Caenorhabditis elegans: one gene and its partner. The protein of the gene in region 2 purifies or fractionates together with the protein of the main gene of each other region. This does not show direct contact. Each region holds a gene or a part of one and is shown on either strand. Other genes may lie near its edges.

Evidence for each region. The genes of interacting proteins can lie anywhere in the genome.
Region 1: the proteins of nhr-112 (region 2) and F49E10.4 fractionate together in Caenorhabditis elegans (co-fractionation; one large-scale study listed by BioGRID). This does not show direct contact.

Annotation. Positions count from the first base shown.
Region 1 is NC_003284.9:5,874,149-5,883,233, reverse strand, and holds F49E10.4 (Mitochondria-eating protein), read right to left. Parts: upstream 7,368-9,085; 5' UTR 7,337-7,367; coding exon 7,208-7,336; intron 7,139-7,207; exon of another isoform or gene 7,011-7,138; intron 6,951-7,010; coding exon 6,831-6,950; intron 6,329-6,830; coding exon 6,194-6,328; intron 5,896-6,193; coding exon 5,741-5,895; intron 5,697-5,740; coding exon 5,471-5,696; intron 5,012-5,470; coding exon 4,847-5,011; intron 4,801-4,846; coding exon 4,710-4,800; intron 4,667-4,709; coding exon 4,605-4,666; intron 4,536-4,604; coding exon 4,444-4,535; intron 4,388-4,443; coding exon 4,273-4,387; intron 4,220-4,272; coding exon 4,066-4,219; intron 3,275-4,065; coding exon 3,165-3,274; intron 2,931-3,164; coding exon 2,803-2,930; intron 1,853-2,802; coding exon 1,696-1,852; 3' UTR 1,482-1,695; downstream 1-1,481.
Region 2 is NC_003283.11:16,720,045-16,727,001, forward strand, and holds nhr-112 (Nuclear receptor domain-containing protein), read right to left. Parts: upstream 3,801-6,957; 5' UTR 3,784-3,800; coding exon 3,725-3,783; intron 3,678-3,724; coding exon 3,535-3,677; intron 3,480-3,534; coding exon 3,409-3,479; intron 3,361-3,408; coding exon 3,148-3,360; intron 3,102-3,147; coding exon 2,923-3,101; intron 2,877-2,922; coding exon 2,761-2,876; intron 2,357-2,760; coding exon 2,109-2,356; 3' UTR 2,017-2,108; downstream 1-2,016.

The DNA of each region.
Region 1 (9,085 bases), on a different chromosome or scaffold from region 2:
TTATTTTATTTTTTGATTCAACTGCGACAAGGGAATTCATGTTGAATAGAATAAAGTCAAAAATGGGCACCGATATGAGTAATACTAGCCTGTTTTTATGAGGATGCGGGGGAAGAAGCAGTTTTTGATTAGAACGTGAGAAGCTCATTGAGCATGGAAGATGCCTAAAAAGTCATCTAAAATTTGGGATTCGTCATTATCTTTTTATTAGTTTCTGCGATCATAGAGTCACAATGGGGAGGAATAATCAGCGGAGAGTTATGAGTAAAAAAATAGTTGCAAGCAGATGGGAATAGAAACAAAAAATCACAATGACGAGAAATTGCATAATAAAACGTGCAAGAAAGCATGGACTTCGCAGATGTTTTATTTTTCAATTTTTTTTCAGGCTGATACATAGTAAGGTCGTAAAGTTTACAGGGACAATGTTACTAATCCTAAGAAATTATATTTGTAGAATATCAGAAGGAGTATTTTTGAAAATGTTTAAAGGTCTAGAAAATATTCGCTTTGTTTCAAAAGCAAACTTGAGCGATTGTTGCTCTTGTGAGATAAACACAGTTACGGCCAGGCGACTTCCTAAAAGCTGTAGGCCTCACGACGGCCTCATCGCATCAATTCTGCATTTTGACGTGTAATGACCGCATAGTGCGATATGCAACAGCCGACAGGTTCCGCGCCGCACTATACAGAAGGCGCGAATTGATCTTTTAGGCAAGGCAGGCGCTGCTGGTTTTACAGAATCTTCATGAAAAAAAAAAGTTATGTCAGAGACGACGGGTAACTCTACTTTTCTGCAATTTTCAGATTATCGACCAATTTGCAAAACTTTACCAAAAACGGTATTGCAACAAGAATCAGAAAGTTCAAGTTAGCCTGATTATTTTATTTGAAAAATGACATGCTGGTTTTCTGGAACAGTTATCTAGTCTGAACGTTAATTTTGCAAAAATACGGAGTAGATTCATTTATTTCCATCTCTTTCCTCAAGTCTTTCAGGTCAAGAGACACAAAAGTAAAATATTATGAAAATTCACTCGCTGCTCTTTTACGCTTCTTACAGTGTAATTGATGAGAAAACGTGTAATTTCTCCAGCTTCACGCTAGACTGAATCACCTTCCGGTAATATTTCTTAGAATACGCGTTAATTTCTGACGTTTTCTTTCATTTTATAAGTGACAAGATACTTGAATAGGAAATTCTAACAAAAAACATGGAAATAATCCAATTTTTACGAACTGAATGAGTAGAAAAATAGATCGAACGTTTCTTTGTGAAACTCTTTTAAAAAAGAAAGACTTAGAAAAGTGTCATCTACTAATTAATGCATCACTACTAAACTATTGAAATTCCTAAAGAAATGTTGTTTTTCAGAAGTCGTTCAACATTTTCGTATTCGTATAGAAAAATATGAAAAAAGTCTTAAAATCAGTATTCACGTAAAGCAATAAAATAAATAAAAGACTTGAAGCTGAAGTGACTTTCTGATGAACATTTGTTTATTTACACGAAATACATAGATTTGGCCGAGAAAGCTACAACTTTAGAAGTTAACAATCAAAGTTTCTCAAAATATCATATGATTATAACTTTTGAGGATGGAGCAAATACTTAACGGACACCTTGGTTAATTAGTTTTCAATTCTTGAGCGAATTTTGTTGGTGTACCCAGAAACCACGTGATTCATTGCTTATCATGTCAAAACAATCGCTTTAAGAAGGACTCGATTGTCTGAAGTATCAATCAGCGCAGGCCATATGAAGTTGACAACTTGGTTGGTTGTTCCCGAGTAAGCTCCTCTGGAATGACGGGACGGCTCGAACTCGGCTCCGTCGTACTCTAACTTCAATCTGCAATAGGATATGATGAGTTATGGGCGCGTTCCGTGGGTGGATTGAATTTATTAATATCGGAAAAGTCAGGTTTTTCTGCAGTGGCTGGGATTTGATTTATTGTGGCACTGTTTGTCAGGTCGGCACATATGTTCTATTCTGAGGATTCGAGCAAAAGTTCGAGACGTTTTTTTCCAATGTGTTCGCTTACACGAAGGCAAACAGATTGGATTTCTAGAATTGTTAATGGAAAATAAAATCTTATATATCAAGTCTGAAAATCAAAACATGAAAAAAAAACATTCCACCACATAAAAAGTTCAGATATTGGGGGGAATCACTTGAAAAACGGAAATGTGATTATTTGGACATCACTTGAATTTTGATTTTGGTTATGAAAAACAGTCATTCTAAAAACTAGAAATGAAAACAAAAGTTTTTTAACAACTTTTATTTCCTCCAGCTGATATACCTAGATACTATGAAAGTTAGGGAATAAGAAATTACAAAAATAGCCAAAAAAAATTCCCCATCTTCAAATGAACATTTGCAAATGGAAGTTATTCATCATTACAAACATGTGGGTGTACAAGTCTCTCATTGTATATTCTATGCTCAGGTGTCAAGAAGCACGAACTTTTGATGAACCTCAATTTGTCAGTGCCAGAGAAGAAAAATGGTCGGCATATTTTAAAATAGAAATATCGCAGAAAAAGACATCGGAAGTTTTTAAGTGACGTTCTGAAATTCAAAAATCATCACCAGGAACAATTTTGGAGATGCTGGGGTATTTTTTTCCAGAAAAATTCGAACCCTATCAAAAATTCTAAATTGCAGTGACAATTTTAGATTTTCGGAGGGGGAGGTTTTGCGGCGGAGGTGTGAATAATTTAAATAAGTAAAATCAATGACGTGCCAGAAAAAGTTATATGGAGGCTGGGGACCAATATTACAAAAAAAAGACTCACTTTCGTTCCGGGCAGCATTGAATGTCCCATGATATTGATATACATTTTTGGATGTATTGATGAATAGTTAGACATTCTTCAACTCCGGGGTACTCGTCAAGCTTCTTGAATACTTGCTGGCACAGATCCTGGAAAAATGTTATATTAGGTCGGCAAATAATTGACGTATTTGTCAATTTACTTTTTTTTTTCTTAAATTATATTTAGATAATTTATATGTAGTCGGTAGTGATTATTTGTCAACCTATAAGTTTTAGCTTCTTGATACTAGGATCTCTGAGAATATAGAACAAATGGTTGAAAGAAGTTTGCATTCATTTTGAGTCAGGCTTTAAAATTTTGATGACAAGTTTTTAAGTTACCTCTGCAATATGGCCTCCAGCTTTTGTTGTGGTGAACTCTTTGTGAAGCTGTGAACTCAATGCATCTTCAAACATTGTCAATTCATTCGATTCTTTGGCATTGTTATTTACTGAAAACACAAATTTTTCAACGTGTTAAAAAAATGTGTAAAGTCACATGCTTAAACATTTAAACATTGGCGAAGTTGATCCAGTTTTTCCAAAAATTTGAATGATATGTTTTCTTAAGAATTCTTGTGGTTTGATAATTGTTGATTGATTATTAAAGGTAGCGAAATTTTGTAAAACTCTCTAACAGACTCAAAATAGCTCAAAACAACAGAGTTTAGTAATGAAATGTCTTGAAATGTTTTTAAAAAAGTTATGGCAGTTCGAAGTTTTGAAAATGATCCTGTTTTCAGCCAAAATCCTAAATTAAAAAAAAAACAAAGTTGAAATTTGGTAAATTAAATTGTATGTAGTTATTATCCTATACAGCATATTGGTAGGTAACTACGTTTTTTCTGATTTATGTGTTTTTCAGTGGATGGGTGAACATATGTGGAAAAAATGTGTGCACCTATAAAGCGAATATGTTCTTAAATCAACGAAAATATGAGTAATAAACGATCGAACATACAACAGTGAGCAATAATATTTAAAAAAAAAATTTCCGTTTACTGCGACACTGACAATTTTGCAAAAAGTCTGATTTCAGCTGAAAATAGGCATGAAACTTTGAAACCCAATTTTTTGAAACGTTTCACTACGAAATTTGGTAAATTATTTATATTTTTGTATATTTTGAATCTAATGAGACAATGACCAAAATTTTCGTTACTCTATGTTTACCCTAAATTTTGAAATAAAGAACAACCCGACAGTTTGTGAAGTGATATTGCAAAAAACCTTCACTACTAACCAGATCCCAATGCCTTCAATACCGCTAGCTTTCTGTCTTCAATGTGCTCTTTCACCACATTGTAAGTCAATATCAAGGTTTCATGTCCGAAAATAGCTTGCAAGTCGTCCTCTCCTTCCATTTCCGGTAAAGTATCCAATGAATCCCTGAGTTCCTGAAAGTTTTATTCAAGATCATCGTTTTTCGTTTCAATTGATCTTCACGTACATTGCTAGCGAATATGAACAATTCGCCGAATCGAGTGACCAATTGACTCGTTTGTTCTTTTGTTGCGGAATTATAATATGCGGTCGCATCCGGATAGTCGGGAAGTGGAAGGGAACTGGATAGAGTTTAGATGAAATACGACACTTTTTGAGTTGTATTTTTCATACGTACCTTTCTTTAATCACCGAGTCTTCTTCGGACTTTTCCCTTAGTTGAGTAATAGTGTAGTTGGCAACTCGTAATTCTTTTCGCAATTTTGAAATCTAAATTCAATAAGAATTATTTTTAGAGAGTAGTAGTATGTACTAAATTAAAAATTTAAAAAATCACACCTCTTGCTTGAGACTGTCAAATTGAATGGAGTTCTCCGACGGTCGAACAGAAAATTTTTCATCTGAAAACAAAAATCACAGATTACTTATAACAAGTTGGCATACTGATTGAAGATGCTCCCTGTGATACGGAGGATGTAGAAGATCCCGAAGACAATCTCGTGGAGCTCACATCATCAGGACACATTTGCAATAGCTGAAAAGTACAAAAAATGAACCTTTGGTTTTTAGTTCCTGTTTACCTTGTTGTATGAATTATTGAACACTACGATTAGCTGTGCAACAATTGGGTCCATCTGTTGAAGAGCAAAGTCTTCCGGAGCAGCTCTTGCAAATGCATTAAACAATCCGATGAGAAGTTTGTCCGATCCGACACGCTTACGACAGATGCGTAGCAATGAGCCAAGCTGGAATTTGGTTAAAGAGATAAAAGTTAATCATTTAATTAGTGTTGAAACTCAGTTTATATTGCAAAAAAAAACGTAGTCCCCCAAAACATCCGAACAAAAGTTTAAATCTTTGTGTTCTCACCGTGCAGAACATTTATTTTTGATTGTTTTTGAGAAAAATGGTCATATTTCATTTACGTGGACGTTTTGGATCTTTTCATGCAGTCAGAGCAAATTTTAAAAACAAAAATTCAATTTAAAAATTTCAGCAAATGCGGAAGTTTCCGAACATCAAAATTAACAACGAGCAACAATCGGTTGCCAAAATTCAAACACTTTCCGGCAAGCGGCAGCCATATTTTAGCAATATTTGTTTACAGCTAAAAAATTCTTGGATAGGAGTTGTACTTTTTGGACAGTACTCAAGAATGGAAAAAAACGTTTTCCCTTGTTTTCAAATAATGAAGAATTGCTCACGTGTTGATTTTGAAACGTTTCTTCAAGTACACACTGAAGAGTTTCATTAAGCTTCAATCGTTCAAACACTTGTGACAATCTCATGCTCATCTGTCTCTGGTGACTCTCGCATGATGGATCCGGTGCATTTGATTTTGGATCATGTTGAAGTTCCTTTATTTGTGAGCAAATAATTTTCAGATTCTCCACATGCTTCAACAATTCCAGATGAACGGCGTCAGTCATTCTGCAAATTATACATCCTGTTTTCCATCACAAGAAAAAACGAACCTAATTAATCCTGACGAGCAATTAACAAGCCCGTGGCATCCTAGACTCTCTAAACATGTTTTCAACTGATTTCTATCTTCGCGAGCTCTTTTCACCAAATCGGGACACTGCCTTCCGACAATCGACATCAAAGTGGCAATACATGGTTGAAACTCCTGAAACGAACCCTATTCTAATATTTTTCCATGTTCATTTTTGTTGGGAGGATGCATACGCCGTCACAAAAACGTTATTTGATTATCTTCTCTCGGCTCCTCGACAAGTGAGCAATTCCGCCGTGAAAAATAGCAAAAATGCATTTTGCGCAGTCTTACGCGACGTGTTTTTGCTGCTGTTTTCTGGAAAAAGCGCTCGCGAACACGAACAACTATTTGCATTTTAAACAAAAAAAAACATTCAAAAGGAGAATCCGAAACACATTTCGTTAGGACGAAAAATGACGAGAAAGCTTACTGCAAACATGGCACAGTGTTTTTTAAGTGATGAATTGCTTTGCTCACAGAATGCTGTCCACCAGACCAATTGGCAGAATAGTTGCTCACAACACAATTCCTTTGTCGGCAGAATTAGCCCATCTTCCACCGTTCGCTGAAATTTGGTACATGAAATGTTTATTGCAGACATTGTATAATTTCTAAATGTACCAAGTTTTCCTTATTAGTCAGACTGTTGATATTGTTAAAAGCTGCTCATGTTGTGCTTAAATGTCCAAATGCTTGGTTAAGCTTTTAAATACACTTTTGAAATTTTTATGAACAGTCAAAATGTGGCGAAATCTCACTTTTTACCAATTATAATATTGGTAATCTACCAAAAATAAATTTCCTACGAGTTTTAAAATATAATTGTGTTTTGATTGATTGAAATAAATCATTCAAAGGATTCAAACCTACAGCAACGCCTGAAATTTCACAAAAAGTTCAATTTTTTGCTTTTGACAAATTGGCACCAATATTGTTCACAAAAAATTTGACCGAAAATTTTTTTAAGTCTAAGCATTTGAAGTATTAGGTTTTTATTTAAAAACTGAATTCGTACAAATATGCATAATGCGACTCCCAAGTTAAATTTTTATTACTGACTCCCTCACCAATTCACATTTCAAATAAATCGCTTCCAGCAGTGGCAATGTGTACGGAATCTCCGAGACGAGTTGTTCAACCGGTGGCAAAATGTTGAAAAGAACGGACAAGTCATCGGTGTTCTGTGCCTGCAAGTATAGTGACGTGCTGCTTTGAACCTGTGAAATACATCTAAGCCGTTCGTTCCGACACCGACGTAAGCTTGCGTGCGACTGAGTTTGCATTACTGATTATTTCGCACGCACCGGGATAGTAGTGCCCGCCGAGCAAATGATCAAAAAGTGATGATCAGCTAGGGTTAATTTGATTAGGTGATTAGGAATTGAATGTCAAATAAACTTCATGAAAAGATTCTCTTCCTGATTATTCAGGTTTTTCTACTTACTTGCTCTCGCAGATGATTCAAGAGCTGGACATCTAGCGGTTCCACTTGGCAAGTGTATTGAATCAAATTAAGTTCCTGTCGTGGTGGTTTAAAACTCCATCCAGCTGATTTGCTGGTTTTGTGCGCCATGCATAAAGAATTTGGTTTGCAGCTCCCTTTCTATTGTTTTCATTGTTAGGTTTTTTGGAACAAGTGTGTGAAAAATGACGTTGAAAAAGAGCGGCACATTGATGAATCGCGAACAAAAAAAGCAACAAAAAACAACAGACAATGAAAAAGGAGACCGCTCAAGTGTGTGCAAGAAAAAAAATGCAATTAATTACTTCTCAAGTGATGGTGGAAAGGGAAAAGAGAACATCAAATGTGTGAATGATATCAACATACTTACAAAGGGATTACTGTAAAGGATGCTTGAACTGGAAGAGAAAATAATAGGATATATATTTTCTCACCTAGAGGAGAACGGCGTATTCTCTACTTCACCATAATTATACAGACAATTCGTAAGTGGTGGTCATCTGAAGAACTATGACTTTCACCAACGGTGAAAACGGGAAGAATTGGGAAAAGATGCGTGAATGGAAGGCAGTACTTCAGAAAGAATATAAACAAAGTTTTGCAGATTTTATCTGTGCTCCAGAATTAGTTTCTCGGAAAGGGTTGGAGCAGAGTTTTTAAAATGAGTGAGGTATGCAGAGCTAATAAAATATGACATTACATATGTGATACACCAAATACTACCTCATATAAGACCATCAGTTTTTTAGAATTCAGAGAAAGGAAAAATTCTGGTAGATGCTAGATGATCCTAACATCAATGATATGCGGAATGGCACTGTACATCTAACGACAACAACAAAAAAAGAAGCATCTCAGAATATCCGGTGGCTGTGAGAAAATGGTTGGCCGGCAGCAGCCGGATAAACATGTCGTCGACAATTTTGCGTTCCCCTTGAAAGCGGGGAGACGCGCGTTTTTTGAAACTTGATACGGCAATTAGAGGTGCCAATAATGAGATACTGTAGCTGAGGCTGCCCGTCGTCGCGCCTGTCAGGATTTGTTTGTATTGTTGCGTCTGGGAAGCCAGAAGCTTGGCAGGCAAATGACTGCAACATGGACACACACACAGAGAGGAGGCGCTGCCGTACGGAGGGAGAGAGGAAAAAATGGTTGATGAAGGCGGCAAAAAGGATGGTGGAAGCAAAAAAAAGGCGGGGCGCCATCCGTACTGGCGTACTGACACGTGTTACATGGCAGGACCTTGTACACTTTGTATTCTCGTTTACTACGTCTTTTGTCCGTTTTGACTAGAAATCAAATCGGACGCGAAATTCTCACACAACAAAAGGTGCCCCCGTTGAAGGTGTTGCTGAATGGCGCGGGATAGGATCAAGCAGTCAACGGAAGCAGAAATAGAAATAGTGAGAAATGGGAAGAAAAGTTATTGTGTTGTACGCGTGTTTCGATTTTTCTTTTGAGTCTACTACAGCCCCCCCCCCCCCCCCCCCCCCCCCCACACGTTTTGTCCTTTCGATAGTAATTTCAACGAGGTCAGTGGTGTTGAGCGGAACGAGGTCAGTGGTGTTGAGCGGGGGTATGAATATGAGTATTTCTTGGTTGAAAGAAGCTTTCTTGATGTTGGTTTTAATTGAATTACCCTCCACACCCCCACTGATATCTGTTTGTTCTCGCTTTTCTTAGAAAAATACAAGAATAGAAATGAAAGCAGAAAACGTTTTTTAGGCTGAGGGCATGATAAAATGTTTAATATTCTTATCTTACTTTTTTGATATTTTTAAAATCATATTTACATATTTACATTTTAAAATCATATTTCTATAGATATTGAAGTAAGTTTCTTTATAATGTTCATTTAAA
Region 2 (6,957 bases):
CACGAGTGAGCTCAATGAGAAATGCAAGCTTCTCGGGAACATTCTCAATGTGGACAGCATTCCGATGGTTCCGACTGAAAACGAGCAAAATTACGTCAAACATCTTCTCACCGATCATCAATTCTACATGACAAGTGGATTTAAGAGCGAGTGAGTTTTTACCTTACCCTTTTACTGCATTTTAAATGTTTCAAATAACTATTTCAGTGGCTGTGGAAGAGGGGACTACCGTACTCAACAAGATGGAAATACTTCTACTTCATTTGATTCAATCGGTTCGAACGATGAATATTGCCATGCTCACAGGTTACTCTTTCCACAAGTGAGTTATTATATTATCGATTTGAAACCTTTCTGCAAATGCAGTGTGAAGGCGCATTGTAATAAAAGAGAACAAAAATTTCATTTAAATTGATGAGCTTTGGAACCGATCTAATGAGCCAAGTTATAAGCTTTAAAAATTAATGTTTTTCAGAAACGGACGTTATCCTACAATGGCTGCAATGCGAGCTCCTGCTATTTGTGCAATGCGTGAGTTAACAGATAACATTTTCATACAACTTTGCATATTTTCAGACGAATTCAGTTGGTCGCATGGGGACTGTGATCCAAAGCCAGAATGGGCTGAAGAAATGTTGGTATACAACCGGACGAGCGAATCAGTTTTCTGTCATTACGTAAGCTGAAATTAATTTACACATTTTATAAAGAATTTAAGGTTGATGAGACGGAAAAGATCACGTATTATGAAGCAAAAGCTCGTTGCAACAGTTTTGGAGCAGAATTGACAGGATTTGACTCGCGAGATGAATGGGTTGCAGTATCTAAAACTTGTGAGTTCTACGCGGCATGTTTTCCAAGAATTTTTTAATTTAAATAATGCGATGAGATATAGAAAAGTATTTGCTTCATTTGCAAATAACACTTACTTGGTGTGGAACAATTAAAAATATTCCCAAAAATACTTTTAATCTGGGCTGTGCGGCTCGTTTCTCGACTCATCTGAAAATTCAATTGTTTCGTGTTTTAGAAAGAAAGAGTTTTTGAATGATCATACTAGTTGAATAGCTGGAGCATGAAGCTTATCATTTTAAAAACATTTGAAAAAAAGTGGTTATAGCGTAGAGATATACGCCTCGAACCAATGAGCCGGCATCCGAGAGGCGATTCATTCGGCACTTGGCGCATTGCGAATGGTATGGAATGTTGTGTACACTTTTTTTCAAAGTTTATTTCTTTAGTGATAAGCTTATTGCTCCAACTATTCAACCAGTATAATCATTCGCAAACTCTTTCTTGCTAATCCACTGAAAATAATGGAATTTTTAGATGCGTCGAGAAAAAGGCCGCACAGCCCTGCTCTGAATGTTGAAAATTGCCGGATAATATTAGACAAATTAACGAGAAAAAACGTTGGGAATTTTCAACTTTCAGAGTATTTTTGAGATATTTCTTCAGTTATTTTTCAGTAATCTTATTTCCAGGTAAAACAAGTATTTCAATATTCCATCAGAAAATTTAGGTTTAAAATTTTAAGAGATTATGCAACACTGGCTCTCTTGTAGACTTGCCGGTCGGCAATTGCTTTATACTAGTACTCCTAATAGAAACGGTTATTTTCAGTGAAGACATGTCATCACTGGACCGGAGGGATAACAAAATATAAAAGCTATAATGTACCAGAAATCATTTGGGACGCTGGTGTTGCTACGAACACAGACTATTTTACTGATGTTTATTTTCAAACGACTCTACCCGATGAACATCTCTCATTACTATGGTCAGAAGCTCATGTTCAGTAAGTCAATGCTTTGAACAGATAAAATTTATATTCAATTTTATTAAGCCCGACGTATCGTAATTACATGTACATGTGCACCATATGCGGTAAAGCTGCAAAATTGGTTCGTTCGGAAGGAAAGGTGTATGGTCTCAAAACAACTGGATGATCACAACATGTGAACTCTTTCGAACGCTTCAACTTTATTGTGGAAATAAAAAATGTTTTTGAATTAAGCACGTTTTAATACATTTTCATTTAAAAGCGACAACAAAAATTCAAATACAAAATCAACATATTTACAACTGTTATTATACTGTTCTCAAGACTACAATTTTGGTTCTCTGATAATCTTTCTGAAATCATCATGTATCCGGATATGATTCATCTCGCACACCAACATCTCCTCCATGAATTTCTTCTCTCCTCTTTCAATGATTTGCAAAGCCTCTAAGGCAACGAAAAAACGATTTTCATGAAAGTTCCTATCGATTTGATAGTTTCGCAACTCCTTGAGTATCACTTTCTGGATATCCCTACACATTTCGAGGCAATTGTCAGATATGTTTGAGTAGCCTGGAAATTTTTAAAGTTATCCTAGTTGAGGAAATATGAATTTTGATTTATTTTTTAACACTTATTTTGAACAATTAGAAGTCGTTTCTCAAAAATTTCCAAAAATCAGTTTTTTTTTTCAATTTTTCTAAGCATGCCAGAAATTTTCAGAGAAATTCAAAAGTTTTAAGAACTTTTTACATGAGTTGTAAACTTTCCAGAAATTTGTACAAGTGTCCAGAAGCCTCTGGAACTTCCCAAGTCTTTCCAGAAGTTCCTAGATCTTTTCAGAATTTTTTTAGACATTTATAAAACCATCCAGAAAATCCGTTGGCTAATCCCAAAGTTGTTTTTACACCTCTAGCGATTTTCAGAACGTTCCGATCATTTTCAGAACCTTCATAACTTTCCGATTTTTTCCTTACCATTATCAAAGAACGCCAGCCAAACGATAGCCATATATTCAAGCTCTTCGAGCCCCATTGACGAAATCGGAAGAATCATTTTTGTGTAGTAGTAATCCCAGTATGGCCGGAAGTTACTGGAAACTTTTCGCATTTAATGGCCGACATTTTTTGAAGGTTTACCTAACAATTTCAGATTTAGACATTTCCTTCCCTTCTGGAAATGTTCCACCATAAAACCCAACCAGCAAATTTTCATAATCCTCTTCCTCCAGATTATCGAACTTTTCAGCACACTCCCGGTACTCGAGGATTGGCTCAATCTGCCATAATTTTGGCACAAAGTTCCGTAACAGAGCTTGCTGGAATTCCAGTTTTTAGAGCGAAGAACTTCAAAGTCAAACCTACTCTATCCCTGTCCTCAAGTACTTCTACAGTTGGGAAGGCCTTGCTAACCATCCGCCACGTCAATTCAAGATCTCTTAGCACAAAACTAGTGAGTTCGAAAATATTGCAATTATTGAGAGATCCACTGTTCATTTCTTCTCTAGTCATTTTCAACTCGTGCCAGTTTGATAGAACACAATATAAGTTTGGTGTTTGGCGGGAAGTTATCGGAGTCTAAAAATAAGTACATTCTTCGGGCCGCTTTTAAGCTTTAAATCCTACATCTAACGAGGAGCATGGGCCTTCCAGTTTTATAGTTCTGTTCAAATGCTTGTCCCTGGTTAGTTGGATCTCTGAAATTCGAGTAGTTAAAAAACTAAAGCATAACTATAAATCTTCAAAACCTACTCTCCGGCGTCATCCCAGCTTCATAACACTTTCGGATCCTGCAACTTCGGCACGGATGAGCATTTGACTGCCTGGTTTTACATGTACATTTTAAGCCGAGCTTTTTCGAGTGATAGAATCTGCGGAAAAATGCAGCGCAGGCTCTGAAAAATTCTGACTAGTTTTTGGGCTTACGGGAAAAGTCTCTCACCGACATGAAGTCCCGCCAAAGTGGGGCTCAGATTCTGAAGATCCGCAGATTTTGCACATTTTGAGAGAGAAGTGCTCTGAAAGTTGATCGGATTAGGATTGCAAATGCATCTCAGAGAAGAGATCGTTGAGCAAAACAAGGAATATTTGCCAATGTTAGCATAATTCTGAGCAACGAGTCTTTAAAGATCTTATAGTAAATGCGCAGCCGACATTGATCGAGGACATATCACCCGCTTATCTCAAGGGACTTGTGGGACAAACGCAGGGCTTGGGTTTAGGAGCCGGCGTCCTCTGTATAGTGTGGCGCGGAACTCCGAAAGTGTCGGACGTTGATAAATTACACCAATCGCACTAAGCAGTGCTAACACCAAGCCTTTGATTTTACAACAAACTGCACAAGCTCCTCGAGCTGTGATGGCAAAGGCCGGCCGGTATGCGGGATCCCTCATTCGTTCTAGAATTTTAGGACATGTCTGAATTTTTTGTGGAAAACTAATATTTATATCGGATTCAGCGTAAGAAAAAATGTTACTTCAATCTCATCTAGATAGTTCAAAAATTCGGAGGAAACAAGAAAAAAATTCGATTTTTTAATTGTAAGCCATTTTTCTCCCAATTTTTGATGGTTTTGACCGAAATTGTAGTTCCATAGGATTTTTAGGATGCTGAATCCGACGCTGATTTCAGATTTTTACGAAAAAATTTGTAAATGCCCGGTTTCGGCGGTAATGAGTTCATACTTAATAGTAAAAATACGGTAGGTATGCCCTTCCTAATTAATTGTTCTATAGCAACAGTTTTTTTTTTAATTTTCGGTCTACAAAATCACATAAGAAATATTTGCAACGATCTCTGAACAATGCAGCCGCAAAATGACAAAGACCGCGCAAAACACGAAATATTTACATCCCGCAAAAATGTAGAACAAAAGATCAAATGAATGTACGACTCCCCGTCCAATTTAAAAGTCTACAAATGCGTTGCCAACGTGTCGTCTGTCGGGGCATGATGAGTCAGTGCATTTTCGGTGCTTTTTTTGTCGTTATTTGTTTAGTTGCACTTGTGTTTTAATGGTCACCGTGCAATGCAATATTACGAAATTGAGGAATGAAATTAATCATTCAAAAATGTATTTATTTATTTATTTATTTTGATACGATTAGTTAATCGTGTAAGAAATGAAATACCAATAGAACACATACACATAATCAAATAAAGCAATCAATATAAAAAGGAACATAGTAATTTTAGAAAAAAGTGGTGCACTTTTAAACCGTTTTTATCTATGAAAAAGGTGAAAAAATACCGCAGGTACTTTTGCAGGAAAAACGACAAGAGGTTGCTGGTGGCGTGCAAAATTGACAAAAAATAAGTGTGAGTATGGACATTTAAAAAATTTCAGAACATTCTGAAACACTTTAGGATACTTTTAGAATTTTCTAGAATTTTGCAAAATAATACAGAATTTTCTGATAATTGAAAATTGAATTTACCGCCGAAATTTTGAAATATTGAAGTTCAAAAATATTGAACAATTTTAATTTTATTTTGTTAGTATTTTGGAAAAATTATTTTTTTTAACTTTCTGCTAAAACCTTCTGGAAACAGTGTTTAATTTGAAATTCTGCAGAAAGTTAAAATAAAATAAAAATGAAAATTTCGCGAAAATTTTTAGAAAAAAAAATTGAATTTCCAGCCGAAATGTTCTGGAAAATTAAAAGTTGAGTTTCGTACAAAAATTTTTTTCGAAAAATTTTTAAATATGAACTTCATACATTTTTTTTGAAAAGAATCGAATTTCCCGCCAATGGTTTTTTTTTTGATAAATCTAAATTTGAATGTACAGGCAAAAACTTTTTGGAAATAATAATTTTAATTTCTGGCCAGATTTTTTGAAACCCTAAAATTTGAATTTCCAGTTAAAAATTTAATTCCCGGAAAGTATTCAAAAAAACAAAAATTAGCATTACTTTAAAAGTATTTGAATAAAAATCAGTTCTGAATTTCCAGTCAAGTTTTTTGAAAAATACTTTTTCAAATTCTAATTTAAAATATGAAGAAAAAAAACGAAAAAAAAAAACAATTAATACCATAAACTAGTACAAAAGAGTCTGAGATTTAAAAAAATTTAGAAATTTTCCACAGGTGACTTTTTAGACTAAAAAAAAAGAGTTAAAAGTAAAATAGCGATCAAAAATTGTCTTTTGCAGGAAAAAAGTTCGTCACAAACCCCAATATATACCAGGCACATAGCACAACGAAACAAACACGGCGCGACCTTTTGATCTCAGTTCTCCGTCTCTTTCTCTTCGTTCTCCATGTAAAAAGAGTACTAAAATTGAATAGAAAAAGCAGAGTGTCAGACAAAAAATTAGAGAACACAGTGTGAATCATATGACGTGGCTTTTACCATTTTATATTTTTTATCAAATGATCGTAAATGACTCAAATGGAACTGTGTTTTGTGTCGGGTGGTAAATAGGATATGAGTGTGCAAGCCGTAAAAAAATCGAGAATACCCTTTAGAAATTACTAATAGATTGTTGCATTTTATGCGTTTTGGGAATGTCTACATTTTGGACTTGAAAATTTCTGACAAGTGTACCAAACTAGGGAAGTATTTTGACATGATCCTGCAACTCAATTTTTTTTTAATTTAAAAATTAATCATTTAAATTTTTTTAAAGACGATCTGAATTTTTTCAGACATCTTTTAAATCAAAATCATGATTTATGAAAATTTGCTTTGAAAATGTGTTTATCTTGTTTTTCGTTTTGTACAAGTATTAGAGCAATTTTAGACGTTCTCTGAAATTTTAATTTTTTTTTGAAAATATCTAAAAAATATTTTTAAAAAATGCAATTTTTGCAAAACAATTGCAATTCGAATATCTGAATTATTTTGGAAACAATTTTTGCAATTTTTTTTGAAATACAAAATTGTGGTTTTCAATTTTAAATGGGTGATTAAATCACCTAATCGTTTTCCAAATTAAAAAAAATTGCAAAATTAAAAAAAAAAATTTTTAGATTTTCGAATTACATCTTTTCAAAAATTTTGAAAAAAAAAATTTTGAGAACACAATTTTTTAGAAAACATAGCCTGAATTTTTTTATTCTGAAATTGTCCTCATCCAATTTTTTCATAATTTCTTAAAACTTCAAAATTCTGCAAATACGCAGTTTTGGAGCAATTTTAAACACTCGAAAGTAGAAAAATACACTGAAAAA